Linked DNA regions of Lytechinus pictus. The protein of the gene in region 1 binds, or shares a complex with, the protein of each later gene. Links are inferred from orthologs where the notes say so. Each region holds a gene or a part of one and is shown on either strand. Other genes may lie near its edges.

Evidence for each region.
Region 2: cyclin-dependent kinase 9-like (region 1) and ELL-associated factor 2-like share a complex: the UniProt entries of both Homo sapiens proteins name them as parts of the super elongation complex. The link is inferred for Lytechinus pictus from reciprocal best matches to the Homo sapiens genes CDK9 and EAF2.

Annotation. Positions count from the first base shown.
Region 1 is NC_087259.1:1,407,408-1,416,111, forward strand, and holds the start of cyclin-dependent kinase 9-like, read right to left. Parts: upstream 3,713-8,704; 5' UTR 3,412-3,712; coding exon 3,236-3,411; intron 3,227-3,235; exon of another isoform or gene 2,948-3,226; intron 2,924-2,947; exon of another isoform or gene 2,798-2,923; intron 1-2,797. UniProt on the Homo sapiens protein: Protein kinase involved in the regulation of transcription.
Region 2 is NC_087257.1:29,619,933-29,628,686, reverse strand, and holds the start of ELL-associated factor 2-like, read right to left. Parts: upstream 3,920-8,754; 5' UTR 3,476-3,919; exon of another isoform or gene 3,246-3,475; intron 1-3,245. UniProt on the Homo sapiens protein: Acts as a transcriptional transactivator of TCEA1 elongation activity. Acts as a transcriptional transactivator of ELL and ELL2 elongation activities. Potent inducer of apoptosis in prostatic and non-prostatic cell lines.

The DNA.
Region 1 (8,704 bases):
ACAGTACTGGACAAGCTACAATGACTTTCACATCCTACCGGGTACCCATTTAGCACCTGGGTCGAGAGTGGCAAAGTGTGGATTAACGCCTTGCCAAAGGACGCCAGACCGCGGTGGGATTCGAACACACGACCCTCTGTTTGCAAGGTGAGAGTCAGAACCACTACACCACGGCTCCTCCACTGTTGTTTATACGGCAATAAGTGGTGAACACTAATTGTTCTCCGGCATGCGTGACGGAATTATTCAATTCCGTTGCGTCGAAGGTGTTTCATTTGAATATGAAAAGAGGGGATGCGAGATAAGGGTGTGGTGTTGTAGGGGAAGTCATTCTAGCTTTCCAAGGACCGCACACTAGCACGTTTTTTAATATGGAGTTCTTTTTATAGAGTGAATTAAAAAATGATAATTGGTAGGAGACGTTGTTGCATCAAAGTTTAAATTGCGGTGGCCATACGGTTTTTTCAGAGTTTAGTGCTGATTCAGTTTTATATCTGTTTTTTTAAACCCGGGCATAATTAGGGTTAGGGCATAACAGTTTAATTAGTTATGACTTCACATGATTAATGTTAAGAGGTATAAAAACATTATATATGTATGATTCTCAGACAGAATTTATTAGAAGTTGTTTTCATACTTTGAAAAATGAAAGTGTTGATAATTTATGTGAAATAAATGCCGTATCTACGTGCTAGTAGCTCGGCAGGCTATATCCCAAAATAGTGTATATTTTGTTATTTTGTCAGAGTGACATCTGGATGTGATGGTTGCTATGGGTGATATTATGTGGTAAACGATGTTAGGATGAACTACAAATCGCACATGGCATCAAAATCCTTGATTAGAGTCTTCCAAAATTAGATGGGGTCCAAAACTAATTTAATTTGAATTATTATTTTTTTTCCAGATATTCATTGAATCTATTATAATTTCCCTAAGTAATGATTTTATTTATATTATTCATACTATTTATCATATTACGACTCATTTTTAATGTGAGTTATATACGTTCGGTACAGTGTATTTTCATTTGTATTGTTCTTTATTGCTCTTTGCCCGCCAATTAGATAATGAACGCGCATGTCACTGTCCCAAGAAATGTTTTTAGTCATCACAGTGAATACTTTATGAATTTGTTGTACATGTGCTTAACAATTACGATTTAAAATAAAATATTATTTGAAATTAATCTGTGTAAAGGAGAAAGAGAGAATATGAGGGTCGTCATGGGCAATGTAAATGGAAATGATGGGATGTTTGTGGGGGAGGGGATTGGCGAAAAGAAGTCAATGTTCGGAGTGAATGAAATTAATATTCATTTATGGATGTGTCTGCTGTGATTGTGGCTGAATAATCTTCATGACAATTGGGAAATCCACCTTGGGTCTGGAGGGGTACGTGATTTAATAGATTTAGAAGTACACATTCAACATAATAACAATACTTTGTTAAACATATTTCTGATAGAGTGGAATTAACAATTTATTCATAGATATTCATTTCAAGTATAAATTATTGAAGTTTATATGTTTGAACGTTTTAGAGGATATGTATTTCGTTTGTTCACGCCCACATGAGTTGCTAGTATAATTTGAATATCGTTGGATGAATTGTTTGATTTCACCTATGTCTTTACAGGTTTATAGGCAAGGGGCTACGCATACGGTCCGTAGATCAACGTAGTTGGTCATTGACATAAGAAGCAACATGCATTCACAAAATTAATCGCACTTTCTAAGGATGTAGAGATCTAGACATTGGAAAGTATGGAGTAAATTTATCAATATTATCGATGTGAATAAATCTATAAACTGTTAGTATAAAATGAGATTGACTTTAATTCCTTTCCTTTGACATTTTTTTAATTGATATATCAGTAGTGCCTTAATTTTCTGCTTCAATCACAATTCGCGCAACCGTTACGGCTGTGGGGCCAAAGAAGCATTAAATAGACATAAAAAAACTCATTAGGTCAACATAGATTTTGTTAACGCACATTACATATTCTGAAAACCATAATTCATAAAATGACTGTTCGCGCAAATTTAGTTGCATAAAATTACATCACCGTATCCAGATGCCGTATCGTGGGATACGATGAATTTTCATGAGCTGATGACGTCACAAATCAGTTTTTTTTCTTTGCGTTTGCTTATCCTTGAAAATATTTTGCTAAAAGCAATTTTAAAATGATTCGTAAACATTTTTTTTACCTTTCAGCACAACTGCACATGCCAAGCATTAAAAACTCTTATTTTAAGAAGTTATCATGTTTTTATGCTGTAACTCTCATTCAAATACTTCACCTGACTTTGACATTCCACGGCAGGTTCATTTCACTTTTGTCTAGGGGTGGCCATTTAATTATTTTTATCACATGTCATTGCAGTTGTCAGTGCAAAGACTTTTAAAGATTTTTAATCTGTCGGCCTCTAGAAATTTGGAATGCGTCCGTTTTTTTCGACTTCATTCAGCAAATGAGCATGGAAATATGACTCCTGAAATCCTTTAAAATCAGAAACATCGTTCATGACTCAGGTAAGCAAAGTATCATATTCGAAATTCATTCATCACAGATTAATAATGTAAAAAAAAAAAATAAGGCCAGATTTCATTTTTTAATGCATCTTTTTTGTACATTCTAATCATGTCATGACCGATGACTCATGAATGCTGAAACTGAAAGAATTAAGAAACACAACTATTCCCGATGACATCATAACGCGCGTGCATGATCATGATGATTTATTTTTATTTTTTGTAAGATAGTAAGTGCAGCACCCACAGTGGAATCCCTACATTTAGCCAGGACCATCATGGCTAGATCTGTTGAAGGAAAGTATTTAATCTGGGGCCAGGGGGTGAAAATTTCAGTTTTTTCGCGGTACATGCACATGATGAATGGGACGCAATCCCTGGCCTAGTAAGTGGAGAGTAAGCACACATTAGTGAATGATTTTTACTATCTAGCCTAGGTCTAGGACTAGGAGCCTCCTGGCTACACACACGAGAGAAGAGAGGTGATTAAGTCGAAGCAAATTTCACGATAAGGCCACTAGTGACTAGTCACACAAATGGCTGCGATGCTGTCAAATTTGGTGATTTTTCTCTTGTGCAATATGAATTACCGCAACACGAAATCGTGATATTCTCCATCCAATACATGTGCAAAAGACATGCTCTGTTGTGGTCCAAGGTTTGCATGTTGCGCTACAGTTCTATTTCGGTAACTTACCCAAATGTTCCCTGGCCTATCTTTGCTAATTTTTCATATTTAGTGACTTCTTCACAATATTTGAATTCCATGGATTCTCCCCCTTTTTGATACGGGGCCATTGCCATCTTGTATCCTTGATTAGCTGACGATTGACCGGGTGGTCCAGAAAACGTCGACGCTTTGCTTTCAGCCATTTTCACATTTTCGTTGAAATGAAAGAAGCGAGTACTCGAGAGCTAGTACAGTGCAGTGCATGCAGTGCATGCATGGGATCGGAATCGATATTAATTTCAAGGCTTTCGATTTAAAATATGAAACTATAGTTGTTAAGAATTCAAAGACTTCAAAGAACAACTGAAATTCATGACGCTTTTCATTTCTTTTGAAAATGATTTAAGTATCTATTTTAATGATGTCGTTTGGAAATAGAGAAACAAATCTAGTGAATTTTTTTTTTTAAAATTAGGGTCTGGGATTTTTCTGTCATTCGTGTTCAACCAATCAAAATACTCGTATCGGACACACCTCCAAACCTGTATCCTGTATCTGTGTGGACTGTGGTGGCTGTGGCTGTGCTGTGGGGAAAACCAAGGACATTAAAAGTGTTTTTAAGTCAATAACTACATTTTTTTTGCTGACCGGATATCTTAAGGTGAGTATAAATTAATATGGAATTTTTGCATGTTGTGGAAGTTCATTTCTTTTTATTGAGAGCTTCTTAAACTTTGTTTGCCTTGAGCTGCCTCACCTCACATGCCTCAGTTGTTGTGAATGTGAGTTGACACTGAGTCTGACACTGACAGGCAATACATATGGTGCCGTGGTCCCCTAACTTAAGTTACCCAGGGGCCGATTGCACGAAAGGGTCTTTCCAAGGACCGTCTTTCGTGTCGCCCATCTTTTATGATGCGCTGTAAGCGGGGTGTTTCTGAAATTTATGATAAACAAATAAAATTCGTAAGCTTGCTTTTAAATCAAATTTTATACAAAATGAGATATCACATCATTTTATTAACAAATATTTTGTTTATTTTAACGGACAAATAAAATATATTTGCAGATAATTTATTTGAAATGCGTTTTACATGGCGTATCATAAAAGATGGGCGACACGAAAGACGGTCCTTGGAAAGACCCTTTTGTGCAATCGGCCCCAGGGAGCCCAGGCCAGGGGCCTGTTTCACGATGAGCTTGGGCCTGTTGCATGACGAGATGAGCGATACATAGGAACGTCCTAGCTAGGACCATTCTTCCGAGATAGGAAGATTGGCGACAAATCAGCGCTTTCCGGGTCATGAAGGCAATTTTGTCTTCCAAGTCCGCGACATCGTTTGAAATTGATACTAACAGTTATACTTATTATACTATCAGAAAAATATTTAGTCTTCATCATCACCTGAACCTTTTATTTCGGAATGACGACTTTTCATAAAACCATATATTTCAATAAATGGAGATCAAATAATGTTTTATTTATTACTGATTGTAGAATTGATCATTGATGTATGGAGCTTACTTTATTTATAAATGAGGTAAAAAGAGAAAAATAATTTTTTTAAAGATTCACTAACAAACTGGATAAAATCGAGATTTTCATTATTTCCCTTTAATAAATGGATTTGTTTAGAACACAATGTCCTTTTAGTCTTTAGAGACACCTTTCATTGATATTTTAACGAAAGAGACCCTTGTCCGACATAAAAATTGAATTGACTAAGTAATTTCGACATAGTATTATTTGTTCAATAATCTGTATTTTCATAGAATACTTATTTATAATGATAATTTTGCAAATTATGCATTAAATGTTATTTGTTGAGGTAAAATAAGGGTTTGAATGGAGTAAACAAAGTCAATGTGTCTGATTGTATGAGACTAAAAAGGAAAATATGAGAGACTGCATGTAAAAAATCTAATTTATTTATTTCATTTGTCAGATATAACGCAAGAAATACATGTGAGTGTTTAGAGTAGTATAAACATACCAAGACAAGCAAAATATGAAAATTGGTGCAAACATGTCCAAGTGGGTAAAGTAGTGCTTTGCAATAATAAAACATAGAAAAATGTGTGAAATCAATCCGCAATGGAAAAAATACTATTTACAGAAACAATGCTAAAAATGACAACGATCATAAACGTTTGTCATATTTAAGTTGACAACTTTATGGAAGTTTATATAAGAATATAAACTTTAAGAAAATAAAAAATATAGATATGTATGTTCAACCGATTTTGATTAAACTTTTTTTAAATCGTTCCTCTCATTTTACTCTTTCCCATAAGATTGCTTCTCTTCTTGGGTTTTGGTTTCCTTTAATTAAAAAAAAAAGGGATGGGGAAAAGACGGAGGGAGAATAATAAAAAAACATATAAAATTATTTGGGCCTATTACCCCGGAGAAGTTAAAATGACATCCGTTGATGACAACTAGCCCCCATATAAAAAATAACTTGGCGCCATCCCAGATAAAATGCATCAGAGTGCAATCGAATGACCCCCCCCCAAAAAAATGTTTAAAGGTGATATGTCAGTGTGGCTTGCCGTAAACGCATTTTCTCTCAATGCCGACGGTGGCGGGCGGTGTGCAAAGAAGATCATGTCTGAAGGTGTCTTTCCAAGGACCATTCTTCCTTGCCCAAATCGGCTTTGTGAAACAGTTGAGCGATATCTCGTTCTTAATACGTAGAGCGGTTCTACCAAAGACCATTTCATGAAACAGGCCCCAGGACTCGTCCGTGTAATATTAGGCAGAGGGTACTCTATAAACTGGGGTAGAATGGGTAGCAATAGCACCCCAAATAAAAGAGGAAAAGTTAATTATGCACTTACCTTGATTATATGGATGAAAGTCTATCGTGACACAGAATCCCAACATCGAGGCACAAACTGGACCCTCAAAAAAAGGAAAAGTTCTGTCTCGTTCGTTCTCCTTTCCAATCTCATCAGCTTTGATGTTTAGTCATTGTTCACGAGTGTACCAGTTAAGGATGCTTGCGCCATCATCCTTGAGAGATTGAAATTTGACAGAACTCTCCCTGACAGGACACAATTGTCTCCCCTAGAGATCCATGACCTGCTTGAGATGTGCCTCAATTCCCTGGGGGGGGGGGGGCAGTCAAATATATTGCTGTACACACGCGTGACCACCCCCTAAACAAGTTTTTCTCTGTGTGCAAAATAGCCCCTTAAACAAGTTTTTTGCAGGCTTTATTTACACATCTTGGCCCCTTAACAAGTTATCGCCAAAATATGACCTCGGGGGAAAAAGCTTGGAAAAAAAAAATACCCTAAACAAGTTTGGCTAGTCTTAAAAAAAAAAGCTTTGGGAAAAAACATACCCTAAATACGTTTGACCCCGCGAATGACCATTGACCAGTCTTTCAAAACCACCCTTTTTCCTGAAAATCTGTGTTTTTGATATTCTTAACGAGTCCACGCGCGGACCGCGTCAAAAACCGAAAGAATACCCCTTTAAACGCGTTTTTTTTGTCATGCGTGTGTACAGCAATATATTTGACTGGCCCCCCGGGCTCAATTCCACCTCTTTCAGATGGAGAGATACATTCTACAGGCAAACAGAGGGGGCTGCCATGGGTTTTTCCTTGTCCCCAGTAGTAGCCAAAATGTTCATGGAACATTTCGAGGACACGGCTCTCCAATCACAAACCCAAAGTGTGGCTTAGATATGTGGCTGACACTTTTGTGGTTTGGCACTATGGAGCTGAGGAAACTAGCAATACAATTTCTTCAGCACCTCAACTCTTAACATGAGTGTATCAAGTTCACCATGGAAATGGAAAATGAGGGGTCTATATCCTTTCTTGATACAAAGATTACGAGGACGGCACAGGGATCCCTATCCCATCAGGTTTATGGCAAACCTACTCACATTGATCGGTACTAGAACTATCGTTCATTCCACCATCCATCAGTGCTGAGATCCATCAACAAGACGTTGGTCAAACGAGCCCATGAGGTTAGTGACCAGATCCACCCGAGAGGTGAACTTGAGCACATCAAACTGTTCTGAAATGTAACAACTACCCCTCACATAAGATCTGCACTGAGCTTCCCCCCTCGCGGAACCGGAGCAGCCTCTCACAAGATTCAGTGGATTTTGAGAGAAGCCGACATTGAGGTTCGTCATAGTTCCTCAAATTCTATCTGCTTCTATCTGCCCTCACTACCCACAAGGACAAGCACAACTCCAAGGACCTCCCTGGAGTTTACCAAATTTCTTGTGAATGCGGTAAAGTTTACATCGGCGAGATGGGTCGTTCCTTTAACACTTGGATTAAAGGAACCTACATGCAAGGCCCATGGTAGGAGAGACGAGAGGGACAAGTCTGCAATCATCGATCATGCTCACACGCATGATCACCGGATTCTCTGGGATGAGAGTAGACTGGTCACCCATGTCCCCTAGTGGCCATCAGCAGAGAGTCAGAGAAGCGTTGGAGATTGAGGAACATAACACTGTTCCTCAAGACAGCAGCCTCCAACTCAGCAATATCTGGCTTACTGTTCTAGACAAAGAGGCTAATTAGTCTAATTAGCCTGCCGGGACGTTCCACACACGTGTGAGCATTGCAGTGTACAGGCGGAAGTGGTGGCTTTTGTCATTCATGCTAATCTTAGCAGGAATGATAATTGACGGCATTTCCGGTCGTCGCTGGTTTTGCGCGTCCAATTTTGTGTGTTGTCACCCACGTCTGCATATGTGGATGTCATGTGACTTATATCTAGCCAATCAGAGACAAGTACCCTGCTAGGTACCGTGCACACGGCACTTTGACAGAGTATATATAAGGCCTGCTTTTACAAACTATGCTCATTCTCCTGAAGATGACAAGAACACACTTGAAACGTCAAGATTGGGTGGTCCTTTTCAGGACCAACACTTGCCCAAGAAACCTTCAGAAATTACATAATTCAATAATTGTAATCTTTTCTAATTTTGTCCTCTATATTATTTTCTCACACTTTGAACTAAAAATTAATGAAATTTTTTTCCAAATGGCTGTTTAAAAATCGATCATTGTCCAGACACACAACCTGTCCGGACACACAACAACTGGGTTTACATGATCCTTGGGTAATACCACATATGAGATCTAGGGGTCAAAAGGTCAAATGATATGAGGTCATGTCCATCTCTTTTTGATTTTTTTTGTTCAACTTGCTCTCATTTCTTTATTTTTTCATCAATTGTGATCACACTTGGTTCAAATGATCCTTGGGTAATACAACATCCATGTGTTGTTGAGGATGATGGGTCAAGGGTCTTCTAAAATATATAATTTTTATAGATATCACAAGGACCAACTTGACTGAACCGTGAAATGTTAAAACAATGGTTAATCCATACAGTTGAGGCCAAAAGTTTACATACACCCATGGAATTTAGTGAAAATTGTTTGCTTGCCAAACATCGTAAAATTTACTATATCTTCAGAAATATAGATATTACCATGATGAATTTGG
Region 2 (8,754 bases), on another chromosome or scaffold:
AAATTCCAATCTTATCAACTAGAAACTTTCACTACAGGATAATTTTTGACCGCTTTTTCTGGTAGTGATATAAGATTTTCACGATATTAAGTACTTTCTGAGATATACGGCCGTCCACGAAATATGGTCATGCGCGAAGTAAGGTCACATGACCATACTTTTCACTTACCCATCACCCTGAATAATACGGCGAACAATGTCAATGATGACCAACGATATGCAGTGTGCACATATGTGATGCACTAAATATAGCTGCGTTTTCTTTTCCGAACATTTCCGAATAAAAAATGTGTACGATGATCAAAACACGATGATCAAAACGAACAAGATAATTCTCAAATCGGAGAGTACCCGAGAGCAACAAAACCTCTGTACCCGGGGGACGTTGTTTACACTATGAGAAAACCTACTAAAAACAACAACTCCTGAGTATTCATTGAAAATAAAGAATAATAAATTTGTTGCTATTGATACCCATTCTTTTGTACGCACAGATATCGCCCGACGATGAAACTTAAACCGGCTTTACGAGTTTTCTTGGACAATCATGTTGTGCATCTTTGAAAGGAAGTGGCTCCCCCCGAACGTATTATGGTACAGGGGTCAAAAAACGTCATCAATCACGTGACATATAATAAAAAAACGTATTTTCTTTGTAATCAGTTTCAACTTTTTTAATTTCAAGTCAGTGATATGTAAGTTAAACCATTAAGTGTTGTATCCATGTATTTCCCCAAAAAAATAAAAAATGCCAACATTAAAAACGAGCGTTATTTAGTGACGACAAAGATCTGCTAACGAAAGTATATGAAATGTTTCGAAAAAGCTTAAGATGTAAAGAGCGCTGCACACGGCGTTCCAGGAATAGGGCGTCCAGTCAAAATAGAATTTATATAGAATATGTAAGTCATGAACATGCTGTTTTCTGCATCCTCTCGTGTAGGTTGTTTAATTATTATTGTAATAAAAAATATTATTGTCGAAATAATTATTAGGCCTATAATTATAATCATTTTTATTATTATGATTACAATTATTTTCATGATAATTATTATTGTTGTCTCATTAATATTGTCTCACACCCCTGTACAATCATAATTATCATAATAATTATAATTACATTTTATAATAATAATTATTATCATTGTTATCTCGATAATTTTCAGGCCTATAATTATAATTATTTTTATAATAATTATCAAATAATTATTTCATTGTCTCAATAATATTATCATTGTCTCATCATTATTGCCTCATTATTGTCTTATCTCATTATTTCATAATTTCTTCGAAATAATAATTAACACCATAACAAAGGTCTATAATCAGATATCAAATTCATGAAACATCTCAAACCTTTTCTAAATTAAAATTCATGAAAAGGGCTTCCTGTGCCATTCAAGAATAGGACTTCCATTAACAATACCATATTCTAGACATTCAGACGCATTCTAACAAAAAATCACTTACATGTATCAAACAAAATTCTTGAATTTTACTTAAAGTTTTGCTCTGAATACTTATTTTGCACAAATTCTACAAAATTATTTTCAAAATAACAATTAAAATTTCATAATTACGAGAGCTCAAATCGTAATTTAAAAATATATACAACAAATGAAACCAAATGTGTCTGAATATCCAGACTAATCTCGATGCCCATAGCAGCGGGGATGACGTCACTCACAGCTTCTCCTACGGTCAAAACAACACCCCTGCTTGATCAGTGAGTCAGATTTGAAAACACCTCACAACACTCAAAATTGAAGTTCAAAACCGCTGGCTCTTTGCGAACAAAATTCGATAAAACTTTCATAAAATGTTCTCATGCAATTATACACCGAGTTTTACTAAAATCCGATGATACAAGAAGGCGATTACAAGCAAAGAGAAGAAATACCTTAAAGGGGAATGAAACCCTTGGAACAAGTGGACTTGTATGGAAAGAGAAAAATCAAAGAATAAGAACAAAGAGAGTTTGAGAAAAATCGGACAAATAATGAGAAAGTTATGAACATTTGAATATTGCGATCACTAATGCTATGGAGATCCTCTCATTGGCAATGCGACAAATATGTGTGATGTCACACGTGAACAACTTTCCATTTGATGGACTATAAAATACCCCTAAACTGTCTCTTTTGGCTCTTGCTTGTGGTGATTCAAACTCTTTATCCACAATATATTACTTGAAAATCTGTATTGCAAGCCCTCATATAGAAAGAATTCATAATCAACTGATAGATGTGATAAAAGAGGCATTTTAAGTGAAATATATACAAATGCAATGGGAAAGTTGTTCACATGTGACATCACGCATCATTGTTGCATTGCCAATGGGAGGATCTACATTACAATAATGATCTAAACTTCAAATGCTTATAATTTTCTTATTATTTATTCAATTTTTCTCAAACTTTTGTTGATCTGTTTCTTTGACTTTTCTGTTTTCACATCAGCTACATGTATCTTGTTCCAAAGGTTTCATTTTCCTTTGATCATGTTGATATTGTATGTAGCCTAGGTAGGTCTTTCCATCGCACGAAGGTAAGTGAAACTCTGTGTTGTATATTTCCGAATTCCGATGTTTACAGAAGATGTAAGAAGCAACCACAAGAATTTTTAACCAATCAAAATCAGCGGAATAAAAGGAAGAAACTGACTGTTTTTTCGAGCTACATGTATTCATAATGCCACTCCAGCACTCGGCTGAAGTGACGAGCATAGCTAGCGAACTGTCTGTGTTAGATATGCGCTCACCATTCACTGCAATGCAAAATCTACGTCCAGCTGATCTGTCCGCATGATCGCTCGCGCAACTGAAGTGCCTACTTAAGGGCCATTCAATTAAGGTGGGACCAATCTAATTCTAACTTCCGTAACTTGCGTAAGGGCACTGCACAGTGCAGTGTCTCACTCTCAGTGAGTTAAAAAAAAATTATGTTATTTAAATTCTAATAAGTAATAGTATTGTAATAAGACTAACTTAGATCTAGATCTATAGACTAATTCCATTTCCAAGCCAAGCCAAGCCAAGGCAAGGCCAGACCAGGCCAGGCCTAAGCATGCTAAGTAAATCTAAAATCATTTATCAATCGCCGGACAGCATTTCTGAAGATGCATATAATAATGTCGACTACAAGTACAAGTTACAACACTGCATGCCATTTTGATCACCAGTGAATACAATTCTGATGCACACATATCCATACAGAAAATCACAGTTCTGTGATACACTCACTCACATTACACATGAGCCAAAGAAGCCCCAGCGAGACACTCAGGTCTCAGTCTCAGATAGATTTTCATACGGTACTGCCGGTAGGCTATACCGATTACCTACCGGCAACTAGTCACACTATCATGACTGTTTAGATCTAACGTTCGGCCCCTAATAAAAACATCGTCAAAACTAGTACCGGTACCAACACTAAACAGATCAAAGTGGAATACACGCTTATTTCTCGTCACTAACCTTTATGTTAGTGACTGTTACGGCGATTCTGAAGGTCTGTATCTTGTTGTTTATAATTCACTGAATTTTGCAATTTATCATCCACAAATGAGCAGTCCACGTCGACAGTTGCTGAACGTCTGCGTTTGTTGATAATACGGTACCGGTATACCGCACTCACGCGAATGTAACCATATGGGACTGTTTTCTTGACAAGCCTTGTCTTTGACTTTGCTGCCTTGGCTTGACTTTCAGTAGGAGTTGACTCTCGGTAGTGTTTCTTCGTATGGAGTCGAATTTTTCGTGACGCTGGGAAAAACACCGGAAAAATAACATTCATGACCAAAAAAAATCCGAGGAATTAAATTTAAAAAAAATTTGCTCCCGCCCGATGAGGGACTCGAACCCGCGACCCTCAGATTAAAAGTCTGATGCTCTACCGACTGAGCTAACCGGGCTTTGGCTGAAGGGATGGGTTTCTTATAGTATATAATGGTTAGGTGGCGGGCATGCAATTTGGAGTCTCGGCATGAGAACAAACCATCAGACTCTCAAGTACGGCAGCCAATCAGCACCGTATTTGCGCAATTATCTCTATCGAAAATTAACCAATAAAGCGAGGGGATTCTATCGAAATATGACAGCTCAGCTTGCTCGCTCCAAATCCACACACTGCCGATCGGAAGTTCATAGATATCTCATGGAGCTCATGGATATCTCATTCAGACATCGCAGCTCGGGTGGGGTGGGGACTCCAGTCGGATGTCCCCCCCCCCCCCAGAAAAAAAAGGAATTAGAGGGGGAGGGGAAGAAATAGGGCCTTTGTAGGAAAATGCTCTGTTGAGATCAGTGGCGTAATGACCCCCCAAAAAAATTAGGGGGCAAGATGTGGCATATATTTGTGAATTTTGACCATTCAAATTACAAGAATCAAATTTTTTAATAGATTTTTTAAACATAATATTAAAAAAACATTATCATAATACACCCTACTATTTTACCTTTTTTCTTGGTTGTGAAAAATATGGAGCACAAGCATCCACAAGCCCCCACCCATCTTTATTGAAGTTTGATTTTATAATAGCACTAGTGTGAAAATGAGCGTCCAATCGGCTGGCAAACAAAAAGAAAAAAAGAAAGGGAGAAACAGAAAAGAAACAGTATCATGGGTGCCCGGGGGGGGGGGGGGAGGCATGGGTATAAAGCTTACAAAAAGGAAATATTTTAGACGTAGTTTTCGGCCGGGACTCGATCCCTTAGATTCCTATCCCGCACAAACGTACTTCATGAAATACAGGCTTCTGATTATTTAAAGGAGCTCGAGTGCAAGAGGTCATTTTCTTAATGAAATGATCGAGTTACATATGGCCCCAGACCTTTTTATACTCTTTTTCTTCGAGTTCTAAAATTAGGCCTACAATATGTCTAATATCCCTATATTTTTCTTTTCACTGCACACATAATGATTGTATAAATTTCCTAAAACTGTCTTGGTGTGGATGGAATGATAAATAGTAAACCCTTGCTTCAGTTTAATGGGTGTATTTAAAAATTTTACAAGAAAATTTGTTTTGATCGGATGCCCGTTCAAAATCTGGGGGTTTCCTCCTGCACATAATGTATGCACTTTCTCCACTCTCTTGCATGGAGAGCAGTCAAACCAGAGTTGCAAGACTCAATTGCTATAAATTGGTATAAAATGGTCTTTGTGGTTAGCTTTCTGAAATCCTATTTACAGATAGGTCTTCAATTCTCCTTTTCAACAACAAAAATATTAAGAAAGTGTGCTGGATATAAACAAACTCTCCCATTCAAGTGTTAAACAGCACGCCATTAAACATTATTTTGTGAGATTTGAACACTATGATTCTCAAGTACTCTTCACCAAAGCTATATAGACATGCTTTTTTTGTGTGTCCTTTTGAAACTTTTTATTGATTACACAATCGTTACGTATAACAATAATCATACAATGAATCTAATTTTCTTGGCTTGATCTGCCGCTGCGATCGACTCATTAAATCAATCAGCATCAGTCTATCGAGGCAATACTTTTTGGAGAAGTATACTGATTTAGTTAAAACAAACAAAAAACAAAACATAATTAATTAACTCGCAAAGAGTTACACACGAGATACAATTAATGTAATACGAACATGCAATTTAGAACTGTATGGTCAAGCCCGTAGCTAGGGGGTGGGGAGGGGTCGGCCCGATCGAACACCCCCCCCCCCCCCAATTTTCAAAAGCAAGAAAAAATAAGGGAAAAAACAGAAATTCGCTTTTTTCATTTTTTTTTATTGTCAAATTTTTCATCAACGAAAGAGAAGGAATCGACACCCCCATTGAAAATCCTGGCTACGGGGCTGATGGCCATTATCAAAGGATCAAATTACACGAAATAAAACAAAATACCCTCATTAGAAAATTTTACAGAACATCTGAAAATGACGATGGAAATAATTTAGTGTTACTAAGGCTCTTAAAAATATCATCATTAAGCCTTATTTGATTAGTAATGATAACCATTCATAGTTAAACGTTTATACTTTCGTTTTCGTTGTTGTAATATTGTATAATTAATAATATATCTCGTTAAAATCTAGATCTATAGAATGATTTGAATAAATGAAGAAAAAAAACAGAAATAAAACTTCGAATTAAATTCAAAAGTTCTAGTTTTTCTTGGTTACCACTTTTCGTAAAACAGTTATACATTAATAGTTAGGATGTAATAGTAAATCTTCATGATGTCGATTTTTTAAAATTTATTTTCAAATCTGCTATTTGTATCTTAAAGGTCAAGACTACAACACAAAAAAAATGATTTTTATACACTGAGAAAAAAATCAACCCTGAAATTCCAGGAGGTGGAAAAATTTGAAAAAATTGTTGAACGGAAATAAAATCTAAAAAATCTATAAAAAAAAGGTGTACAAATAAGGGACCGATTTCATTAGAGAATCCGTAACAAGCTTCTGCGAGAGCTGGGTCCCGTCATACAAAGAGTTGCAATTGATTCAATCAATCGCAAATATGGAAAGCCAGCAAAGTCAACATACAAAATGCATGTTTATTTTTTACCTAAATTCTAGATATGAATGTATATCCATAAATTCATTGATTTCTTGACAATTTGGTGTGATCTCCTTTGTTTACAAAGTACATTTTGCAAATTTCCTGTAGAAAAAAATATGACACTGATAGATTTCCATAGTAGAGTTACAGCAGGTGGGATCAATCGTAACTCTATGGAAATCCATCAGTGTCATAATTTTTTTCTATAGGGAATTCGCACAATCTCCTTAAAACAAAGAGAATCACACTGAATCTTCAATAGAACTATAAAATATATGAAAGTACATCATATCTAGAGAATATTTTAAACAAATTTGATTTTTTTTTAGTTGATGTTGTTTGCCATCCATATAGTTGTGATTGATCGGATTGATCGTAACTCTTTGTGAGACAAGGCCCAGATCATGACACATACTCACCCTATGATTATTTAACAATTATTCCAAAATAATGCAAATTATTTTTGCATTCTAAAGTTTTGTTATGTTTTCATCGAATATATGAAAATGAGCGGCTGTGCATAATTCAGTTGAGAGCATCCGAATTTTGAATCCAAATGATTTACTTTTATTTATTTATTTATTCAAATATATTTATTCAGGATGACAAGATCAGTTAAAAAACTGTTTTACATCATGGTCCTGACAAATCTCAAAAGCTTCAAGTCAAAATCTTTTAGATTTAAATCCGGATCCACAAGCATGGCAAGGTTAAATATCTTTCAGCTAGTTTCTAATCATAAAAAAAAAAATCTTCGACAATAAAACATGTTTAAATTCTAAATACATCAATTCATGCTATAGTTGTTTATAAATATTTGTATATTTCACAAAATATTTAATGTATATGATCTAGATTCATACATTTATACTTAAATGACAAGTCCATCCCAACAAAAAGTTAATTCAAATAACAAGAATAAAATCAAAATCAAGCATAATACTGAAAATTTCATCAAAATCGGATGTAAAATAAGAAAGTTATGACATTATAAATTTCGCTTATACCGGTAGGTATGCAAATGAGGGAACTGATTACATCACTCACTCACTATTTCTTTTGTATTTTATTATATAAAATATTCTAATTTTCTCCCCATTGTCCTGTGAAACAAAGTTTTATTTCTCCCTAAACATATGGAATTACCAGTGTTTAACATTAATATGGTTTAGTCAAAATGGTCCTTATTGTCAAATCTGTAAAAATTGAAATATTTGTATAATTCAAACAATAAAATACAAAAGAAATAGTGAGTGAGGGACATCATCGATTCTCACATTTACATGTGACTGATTTGTGCATATAACCTTTTTGTGAAAAATAACCGATGCTATAAAATGTCATAACTTTCTTATTTTACATCCGATTTTGATGAAATTTTCAATGTTATGCTTGCTTGATTTTTCTCTATTGATTCAAATAAAAAAAATTATTGGGTGGACTTGACCTTCAATTTTAAAAATGAATTATGTATGTCAATAGTTTCATTATTTATTACAGTACAAACAGATGTCCCATATGCTATGCGATCTTAAACATGTTAAACGGTCCCTGTAACCTGGAAAAAATGACCTATAGAAGAAATCGGTTTTCGTTCACAATTATGTAGACATCTAGAAATCATAAACATTTATAATAATTTTAAAAAGTGTCGAGAAGATTACTCAGAATCACCATTATAAAATCGATCATCCGTTGTGGAGACAATGACAGTAAATATTATAAGTTGGTTTTCTCTCCTGCAGAGTCTCAGGCATTTTCTTCTAACGTTCTCTTGTGGTATAAGAATGCTTGAAAGGCCCTCTTTCCTTCCTGAAATTTAGAAACAAATAACATTTATAGGCCTAATGATGATAACAAAAATCTGAATTGAGGATCAGTTGTAGCTCCCAGGGAAGAAACAAGCAGGGTTTGAACAGTTCAGAAGGGGGCATTTTCTGCAGAGCAAAAAGAAAAAAGAATATTGGAGTAAAGGGGCTCTTCGGCCTCCTGGATCCGCCCATGTATCCCCTCATTTATATCTTTATTCCTGACCATTTTGTTGACTTACCAATAGGGTATATTTTGTATTGGCATGTAAAATTGATTGTGATTTAATTCATTGTTTCAAATAAATGTTTTAAAACAATAATATATGCGGGGACTCATATTATGATAATGAGGGGAGCAATAACAAACTCTTATACAAGTTATAAGGGGAGCGGTAGGGGAGCACTGCAAAA